2 linked regions of the Rattus norvegicus genome follow. The protein of the gene in region 1 interacts with the protein of each later gene in a biochemical or structural test. Links are inferred from orthologs where the notes say so. Each region holds a gene or a part of one and is shown in the gene's direction. Other genes may lie near its edges. The genes, in order: Loxl1 and Fbln5.

Evidence for each region.
Region 2: the proteins of Loxl1 (region 1) and Fbln5 form a complex in vitro, tested with the Homo sapiens proteins (2 studies listed by BioGRID and IntAct). The link is inferred for Rattus norvegicus from reciprocal best matches to the Homo sapiens genes LOXL1 and FBLN5.

The regions. Positions count from the first base shown.
Region 1 is NC_086026.1:67,609,284-67,613,549, reverse strand, and holds the start of Loxl1 (lysyl oxidase homolog 1 precursor), read left to right. Parts: upstream 1-1,325; 5' UTR 1,326-1,647; coding exon 1,648-2,851; intron 2,852-4,266. UniProt on the Homo sapiens protein: Catalyzes the oxidative deamination of lysine and hydroxylysine residues in collagen and elastin, resulting in the formation of covalent cross-linkages, and the stabilization of collagen and elastin fibers.
Region 2 is NC_086024.1:126,739,771-126,744,107, reverse strand, and holds the start of Fbln5 (fibulin-5 precursor), read left to right. Parts: upstream 1-1,401; 5' UTR 1,402-1,626; coding exon 1,627-1,643; exon of another isoform or gene 1,644-2,091; coding exon of another isoform or gene 2,092-2,147; intron 2,148-4,337. UniProt on the Homo sapiens protein: Essential for elastic fiber formation, is involved in the assembly of continuous elastin (ELN) polymer and promotes the interaction of microfibrils and ELN. Stabilizes and organizes elastic fibers in the skin, lung and vasculature.

The DNA.
Region 1 (4,266 bases):
CACTGAGCCAAGACTTTCTTGTCTTCAGCCTAATCAGTCACTGTTGTAGGAATCCAGACACATGCTGGATCTAGGGTGTCACAGGCAAGTGTGCTATTACAAGTCCCCACGTCTCTGGCTAGATTATAGATATCCAGTGTCCCGAAACACATAAATGAAGTATCAGTCCCGGAAAACAGTGCAGTGGGTCAATAAACGCTTCCTGGTAAGAATGGAGGGCAGAGGAGTCCTTGTTCCCAAAGAGTATCATTCTGGCTGTTTTCCTCCTTAAATGGGGTCTAGGAGTTGTCCAGCATGAAGACAGGTACTTCCTGTCTGGTTTAAGGGGTAATCTTTGCCCTCCAACTCCCAAGGCCACAGCAGAAGACAGCCTGGGGGGTCTGTAGAGCCGTGTTTAGAATGTAACTTTTCAGGTACCAAGTAAAAGTTGAAACTTCTGGGACCTTTCTTATTATCCCTGTCATCCCCAGAGGGAACAGAGAATCAGCCAGAACAAATGGAGCTCTGTGGAATAATCTCCCAATGATCAAACGTGTCTACTAAATCAGAGTTGGAAGGAGCGTAAGATTCCCAAGTTCCCCCTCTTGGACGCTGCTTTATGTTAAAGGTTCCCCTTGCCTATCCCATATCCACCTGCTGGCTTCATCTTATCCGCGTGTCTACTCAGATCCCTTCTGACTATCAACTCAGGAAGCCCAGGACAGAAGCCACTGGGGGTGACTGATGTCCGCATCTACCATGAGCTCCCAAGTCCTGTTCAGCCCAGAGACATACCCACTCCAGTTAGTCTCCATGCCTGTAGGCTGAGACCTGGTAGAAGAGCTGAGGGCTCACTGTCTTTGTACTCAGGACCAAATGCTAAATGTCCTCGGGATGCACAATTACAAGGTGGCCCCAGCTAGAGGTGGGCTCAGGGAGGCTCATCAACAAAGATGCCTCTTGCTTTGCAGAAGCCGGAAGGCACCCCAAGAGCCCTAGGAAGAGGTGAAGTCAATGAAGAAAATAGAATTTAAAAAAAAAAACTATCCAGGGCTGAGTGGAACCAGCAGGGTAGTGCCCACATCTTAATCCTGCTGTGCTTGCCAGAAACCCCACTTACCAGGCCTGAGTCCCCAGGGGCCCCCTCCAACTCCCTGCCTCATTCCCTTCCTCCTAAGCAGGTCTGTGGCTTGGCTGGAAGCTACTAGGACTGAGGGAGCATTGCTCTGTGGGACAGGCCACATAGCTAAAACCCGGCGGGCCATAGGGCCCCGCGGAGGAGGCCCCAGCAGGCGGACCAGGTTTCTGAAACCTCCAGACACTTCCAGCCTGTTGCTTATTCATTCAGAGTGGGAAAGCGCCAGCCTAGAGAGCAGCCAGCCAGTGTGGGGTTGGCCATGTAAGGGCCCCAGGAGGTCCTGCCCGTCCCGTGCCCTGCGGAAAGCCTCGTGCAGCCCTGGGCACCGCCCCTGCCCTGCCCTGACCCCTTGGCCTCAAAATGCTGTCATCGGAGGAGCCGTCCCGCTCGGGACAAGGCCAGGATGGACAAAGCTAGAGCTTGGGCAGGCGAGGAGCCATCCTGTCCTCGAGGCCGTGGGAAGAGAAGCACGCACCGGGGCCCACTCCTGAGAGCCTCTCCGCCCACCCGGCCTCTGCAGAAGGGCCACTATGGCTCTGGCCGGAGCCGGCAGCCAGCTGGGGACCCTGGTGTGGGGAGCCTGCCTGTGCGTCCTGGTGCACGGGCAGCAAGAGCAGCCAGGACAGGGCTCGGACCCAGGACGCTGGCGGCAGCTGATCCAGTGGGAGAACAACGGGCAGGTGTACAGCTTGCTCAATTCGGGCTCTGAGTACGTGCCTGCGGGGCCCCAAAGAGGGGAGAGTAGCTCCAGGGTGCTACTGGCAGGCGCGCCCCAAACGTCGCAGCGGCGCAGTCAGGGAGGACCCCGGCGTCGGCAGGCGCCGAACCTGCCCCTGCCCGGACGCGTGGGTTCGGACACTGTGCGCGGCCAAACGCGGCACCCGTTCGGCTTCGGCCAGGTGCCAGACAACTGGAGAGAGGTGGCCGTCGGGGACAGTAACGGGATGGCTCGGGCCCGCACCTCCGTCTCCCAGCAACGGCACGGGGGCTCCGCCTCCTCCTCGGTTTCGGCCTCGGCCTTCGCCACCACTTATCGCCAGCCATCCTCCTACCCGCAGCAGTTCCCCTATCCGCAGGCGCCCTTCGTGAACCAATATGAGAACTATGACCCCGCGTCGCGGACCTATGAACAGGGCTACGTGTACTACCGCGGTGCGGGCGGAGGCATGGGCGCAGGGGCGGCGGCGGCAGCTGTAGCCTCGGCTGGGGTCATCTATCCCTTCCAGCCCCGGGCACGCTACGAGGAGTACGGCGGTGGGGGCGAGGAACAGCCCGAGTACCCGGCGCAGGGCTTCTACCCAGCCCCAGAGAGGCCCTATGCGCCCCAGCCCCAGCCTCAGCCCCAACCTCAGCCGCAGCCTCAGCCCCAACCTTCCGACGGCCTTGACCGTCGTTACTCGCATAGCCTGTACAATGAAGGCACCCCGGGATTCGAGCAGGCCTACCCTGATCCCAGCACCGACGTGTCGCAGATCCCCGCCGGGGCCGGTGGCACCTACGGTGCCGCTGGCGATCCCCGTCTCGGCTGGTACCCGCCCTATGCAGCCAATGTGCCTCCCGAGGCCTATGTCCCTCCGCGTGCGGTGGAGCCGCAGCCCCCATTCCGCGTGCTGGAACCACCTTACTTGCCTGTGCGAAACTCTGATGCGCCCTCCCAGGGTGGGGAGAGGAACGGTGCCCAGCAGGGCCGTCTCAGCGTGGGTAGTGTGTACCGACCTAACCAGAATGGTCGCGGTGAGTACAATCCACGAGCGCTTTGGTTCGACATTCTGGACACTGGTGAATTGCTGCCTCAGGGGTACAGACCCCGTGTTTCTTACCAAAGGCCTCCCAGTAGTTGCTGAGCAAAGACTCTTTAGCTGACAGCCCCAGTGTGCCTCTCTCTTCCTGAATCCACCCATTCTCCATCAGGGTCAAAGGCCTACCCGGTAGGCCTGTGTTTTGACTCTGGCTTGGGGGAAATCGTGGAAGGACTAGCCAAGTTATAAGAAGTACTTTGCGGATCTGGCGGAGGTCATCCAGGGACAAGTGGGGAAAGTCTTTCTCCCCTGCTTCTCCTTCTTCCAGTCAGGGAATCTCTTTAACACTCTTAGAAACCCCCCTATGCCTGTGCATAGAATGAGGCAAGGATCATGGGAACCTTGAACCTTCAGGGTGAAGAGGCCTTAAGGATGATGCTTTTTGAGGTGCAGCAGCAGTGTCCCCCGTACTTGGACCTCTGTGAGCTAGCTAGCCGCTGGTGAGGTAAGTAGGCAGTCAGAGAGCAGCACTTGAACAGACAAAAGTTTCAGACCCCTGAGGGGATCCCGCAAGGCTGGGATGCCAAGGCCCACTAGCCAGGGCATAAAATTCAACTGAGCACTAAAAAAAAACAAAAAAACAAAAACAAAAAAAACCTGGATAATGAAGATAAGTTCTATTTCAGTGCATTAAAAATCTCTTATGAACAAATATGTCCACATTTTAAACAGACTCGGTAATGTTTCCATAACCCGAAGCAAACTGAAAAATCAATACGGGCCGTTTCTTTATTTGAAACGGGATATTTGTTCATTGCAGATTTTTTTAATTGATTTTGTTTTTAAACACACCGCGTTAAATATTACTGCTCTTGGGCACTGCACTTCATGATGTTCTGTAAAACATAACCCAGGCCAGTGTACCTCACTTTAGTCTTGGCTCTGAGGGGAGAGACCCAGGAAATGTCTGGAGACAGGCCACCCTCTGGCTTTCCCCAGGGATGAAGATAGGACCTATTCTAGGGAAGGCCATGTCATCTGCACACAAGGGTCAGGGTGGAGCGCTCTTCCTCTGCCAGATGGGCAGCTTCCACATGTGCTGTTATTGTGACAGGGGCCAACTGTTGCGTCTGGCCAGTGCTGGGTGGCCATCGGCCCATCCTCAGCTGTCCTAGAATCCCCTTGCTGATGCTGTCCATCCAGAGCTGTCTGCTCTCTGGTCAAGCTTTCCACTGAGTTCTCAATGCACACACAGCACACCCCGGGGCAGCACTCACTGTCCACAATCCCTTCTCCATACCAGGGTTGCTACCACCAGGGCTGTCGGGTGAAATTGAGCCTTTGGGACCCAAAGGTGCTGGTGTCCCGCCCAGCCTTGGCTGCTCAGCCTCTGTCAGCACTGAATAATGA
Region 2 (4,337 bases), on another chromosome or scaffold:
GTGAGTAAAGTGGTCTATGTGACTATCACAATTCTACTGTCAGAACTATAAACTATATTGGAAAGCCTTCAAAATCAGTGTATTAGGAGCCTCTGGCATTTCGAAACGTATTACAGCACAACATCATGGAGTCCGAGTCTGTGTGCCTTGTCGAAGCACCTTGGTCAGAACTCAGCTCCCGCCAGTCCTGCCTTTGAACCTTACGTAGACAGAGCTGGCCCGTGTGCACACTTAGGTGTCTAGCTATTTTGAATGGTTACTCTCATTCATTTCTCCACCTGAATCTCTTTATTTCGCCCCCTTAGGGCAGTACTGGTGAACCTTAAAGATTCTTATAATCCTACTTATTAGAACAACGGGAGGGATGTACCATCTCCTGAATGAGATGAACCTAAATATAGTTTAGTCTTAGACATTTCATACACCCATAGGAAATAGATCGGGTCAATTGGATTCCGAGCTTCAACAGCATCAACGTCTGGCTGGCTGCTCTTGTCCAGTCTAATGAGATTTTAGAGTAGGAGTCCATTTCCTCAAAACAGTGTCGTTAGAAAAGAGTACATAAAGATGCAGACTTCAGAGGCTTGACGGCATCTCTGAGAGACGTGAGCCAGTGGGGAAGTCACTCAACCCCTTTTATTCTCACCTCCAAGGAAGTGGAGCTAGTTTCTAGTGCACAGAGGCATGGTAAGGGAGGGAAACTCTTCCCCTGTGCTCTCTAAACTGTAGGTCAGGCAGTTGAGGGTCCAAGAGAAGGTTCAGGCAAGGGAGGGCTTGCAGTGTAGTAGCCCCGTCCTGTCTTTTGGAGAGCAGTGTCTTTGGCATTTTTGCACTCGATAGGGGGTTCCAGAGCTAGAAAACAAAGGGGAGGGAGGACTTCCAGAGTCCTTGTGTAACCCACCATTCTTAGGCTTTCTCGCCTTTAACTTTTTACAAACCGCCTTTCTACACACAGCAACTAAAAGCCAAGGAGGACGAGGTGAAGGCAGCCAGAGATCTCAGCCATCGCTTGCTCTCCTTCAATCTCCCTGTTCTTCCCGGATCCTCCCTTACCCCACATCCTTGCTTAGGTATCGCGCTTGTTCCAACCCTGGCTTTAAGCCTCGGGTTCCCAACTGCTCACATCCCTGAAGCCGCTTTGGTGGTGAGTTCAAGTTCCTGCTGCCACAGGGCCTGATGACACGCCCCCTCGCACGCGCCCCGCTCCGCCCCGGGGAGGCCCGGCGCCCCTCAGCCCCGCTCTCCCTCTGCTGGGCTCCCCTCCCAGCACCGAGCACTTGGCCCTGGCAGACGCCCCAAGATTGTTGTGAGGAGTCTAGCCAGTTGGTGAGCGCTGTAATCTGAACCAGCTGTGTCCAGACCGAGGCCCCATTTGCATTGTTTAACATACTTAGAAAATGAAGTGTTCATTTTTAACATTCCTCCTCCAATTGGCTTAATGCTGAATTACTGAAGGGGGTTAAGCGAAACCAGGTGCCGGCGGCGAGGGCTCTGCAGTGGCTCCCAGCACCCGGCACTGTCCCCGGCCCTCCGCGCAGCCCCGTTCGGCCCCTCGGAAACCAAGCTGCCCGGTCCCGCGCAGAGCCTGCCTTCCTCAAATCACCTCTCCTCCCGCGCATCTTGGATATGCCAGGATTAAAAAGGTAGGTTGGAAGGCGCCAGGAACTGTCTCCAGGCTTGAGAAACCTAACTCCAGACCTGATGGGTGGAAAATGGCTATGGCTGAGATTCCGCCTGTGTCAGGGCACTGGAAAAGACTTTTAGCAAGTGATGCAATGACCCTGTTAATTACAAAAAGCTGCGCTCATCTCGAAGTCTTGGTTTGGGAGTGGGGATTTTTCTAACAGCATCAGGAGTCAGCATCTCGAGAGAGGCAGCAGACAGCCTCTTTGGATCATTTCTCTTTCTTTTTGGAAAGGGCAGCAACGCTGTGCGCAGTTATTAAAATATCACACTACATATTTTTTAAATTTGGGAGACTGTTGACTACGGCACCAGCAACTGCTTTGCTGCGACGGCTGTGGGACAAGCAGAAGGAGTCTCCGAACACTCCTGTCTGCGTTTGCTCTATGTGTGCGATTTACAGAGGGAATGGGACCTAGAAGTTTCGAGCCAACGAACAGTGGACACTGCAGACAGAGACGCATGTAAGCAAATGTTTTGCTGTTCTTTGCGGAAATTGCAATTCCAGTCAAGTAATCCTTGAGCCTTGAGGAAGTTTAAAGATGACATCTGTCCTCCCCTTCTCCAGTGCCTCTTGAAAATAGAGCTGCCCTGCACAGACCTACACACTTTCTCTGTGTGTGCTTGCATGTGGGAGGGGTGCATGCATGCTAACACGCATACGAACTGAGCCATATTATGGTAAGACATAGTTAACATTATCATCCCGAATCGCCGACCAGCAATGTCTGTCATTGACAGGCACTTGGAGGCTCTGTCCTCTTCCTCCTCCTCCTCCTCTTCCCCCTCCTCCTCTTCCCCCTCCTCCTCCTCCTCCTCCTCCTCTCCCTCCTCTTCTTCTTTTGGATGGTGAACCCAGATTCAAAAGAAAAGTTTGAGACAGAGTTTCTCCTCTCCAGTATTAATTTTGCTTCATTTTTGGTACGATTTTTTTTCTGCAAAGCCTCTCTATTAGCCTGGAGATTATTTGGCCCCCGCTCTTCCAGGAGGCTGGGCTTGGGGCTGGCCAGCCCTGGGCTGGCTTTCACCAAAAGGAACAGAGAGTGGGGTAGGGGAGAAGCCGGTAGGGTTAGCACGCCTTTTCCAGTCTCTCTTGAGCTGTACTGCATGCAGTCAAGCTGCTCTGTCTCCAACATAAACGAGACAGGATTTTATAACCACCTGAAAGGAAACTTCATGAGAAGAAACAGGAAAACATTGAAATTCATAATCTACAGCCTGGAAAATGAATTTGTTATTGTTCTCTTATTCCTTCCAGATATAAAGTCTGGCTCTCACAAATATCCGAAAAGCCCAGGGATTTGGCTCTGTACTTTATAAGGTCAGAGCTGTCTCCAACGTTGGAGAACCTGGCTCACTCACACAGGCGGTTAAATGAAATGAAAACCTGTCTACCCAGGATTGGATCTGGGACTCCGTGAGGGAAGTGGGTTTGCGTCTTCCAGGACCACATCGGACTCAGTTTTGTCTGGGTGCCTAGGTGCTGCCTTCACTCCGCGTCTTCTACGTACCTACTGCTATTTCTCCGCTCGCTGCGGGTTGGGATGTCAGTGAGCTTGGGGTCTACTGAGCACTCGTTCTGCAAAGGTGGGGGCTGTAGAGCCATGGCGCTGGGTGGGTAAATAGTAAGCCTCCGGTTCACAGCCGTGCTGAGAAACATGCAAGATCACCACCCTCCAGGAAGCTTCCTCTGCTGACTCTTGACATTCTTATCAAAGCAAAACTGTACTCCTGGCCCATGGCACAAAGCAGCGAGCTCAGGTGAATGGCAGCTGGACCACAGCTCTGTGGCTCTCCTGCCCAGTATCTGTGTTGTAAGCTGTAGTTGCAAGATGAACAGTGTGCTAACAGACTTGACCGTCTGCAGAGACTTCACATTGTCTCTATCTTTCCTGCATTAAGTGCCCATGTTGATAGTGTTCCATAGGCTCCCTTGGCTATATGCCCAGGTTCCATGCATGACTCTTTAACCTGCAAAATAGCTCTTGTACCATACTCTGTGTTGTGTGGTGCACACCTGTAACCCCAGCATTTGGGAGGTAAAGGCAGGAGACAATCAGGAGTTCTGAGCCAGATTTGGCTGCATAACCAGTTTGAGGCTAGCCTGGGCTGCATGAGGCCCTGTCTTAAAAAAACAAAACAAAACGAAAAACAAAAAAGAGGCCAGCAGAAGTGTCTTGTAATCCCAATACCCAGGGAGCCGAGGTACAATTGCCCCAAGTTTGAGGATACTGGACCATATTGATGGTTGTAGGTTAGCCTGGGCTACAGAGTGAGAGCTTGTTTCAAAAAAAAAAAAAAAAAAAGGCACAAGCCCCAAGCCACAAAAGAAAACAACTTAAAGAAATCCTTTACCTATTAAACACCCCCTCCCTGCCCCAGAAGCTCACAACCTGGAGCCACCATTTTTCTTTCTGAGTCTGAAAGTTCTGGGGTACCTGATGTAAGTTGAATTCTATGTGTTTGTGACCGTCACTCTTCTCACTATGACGTCCTCATGGATCATCAGTGTTGCTGCTCCTGTTTTTTGTTTTGTTTTGTTTTAATTACATTTATTTATTTACTTGAGGGGAAGCATGTGTTGCTGTGCACGTGTGGTGGTCAGAGGACAACTTTCAAAAGTTGGTTCTCTTTCCATTCCGTGAGTCCTGGTG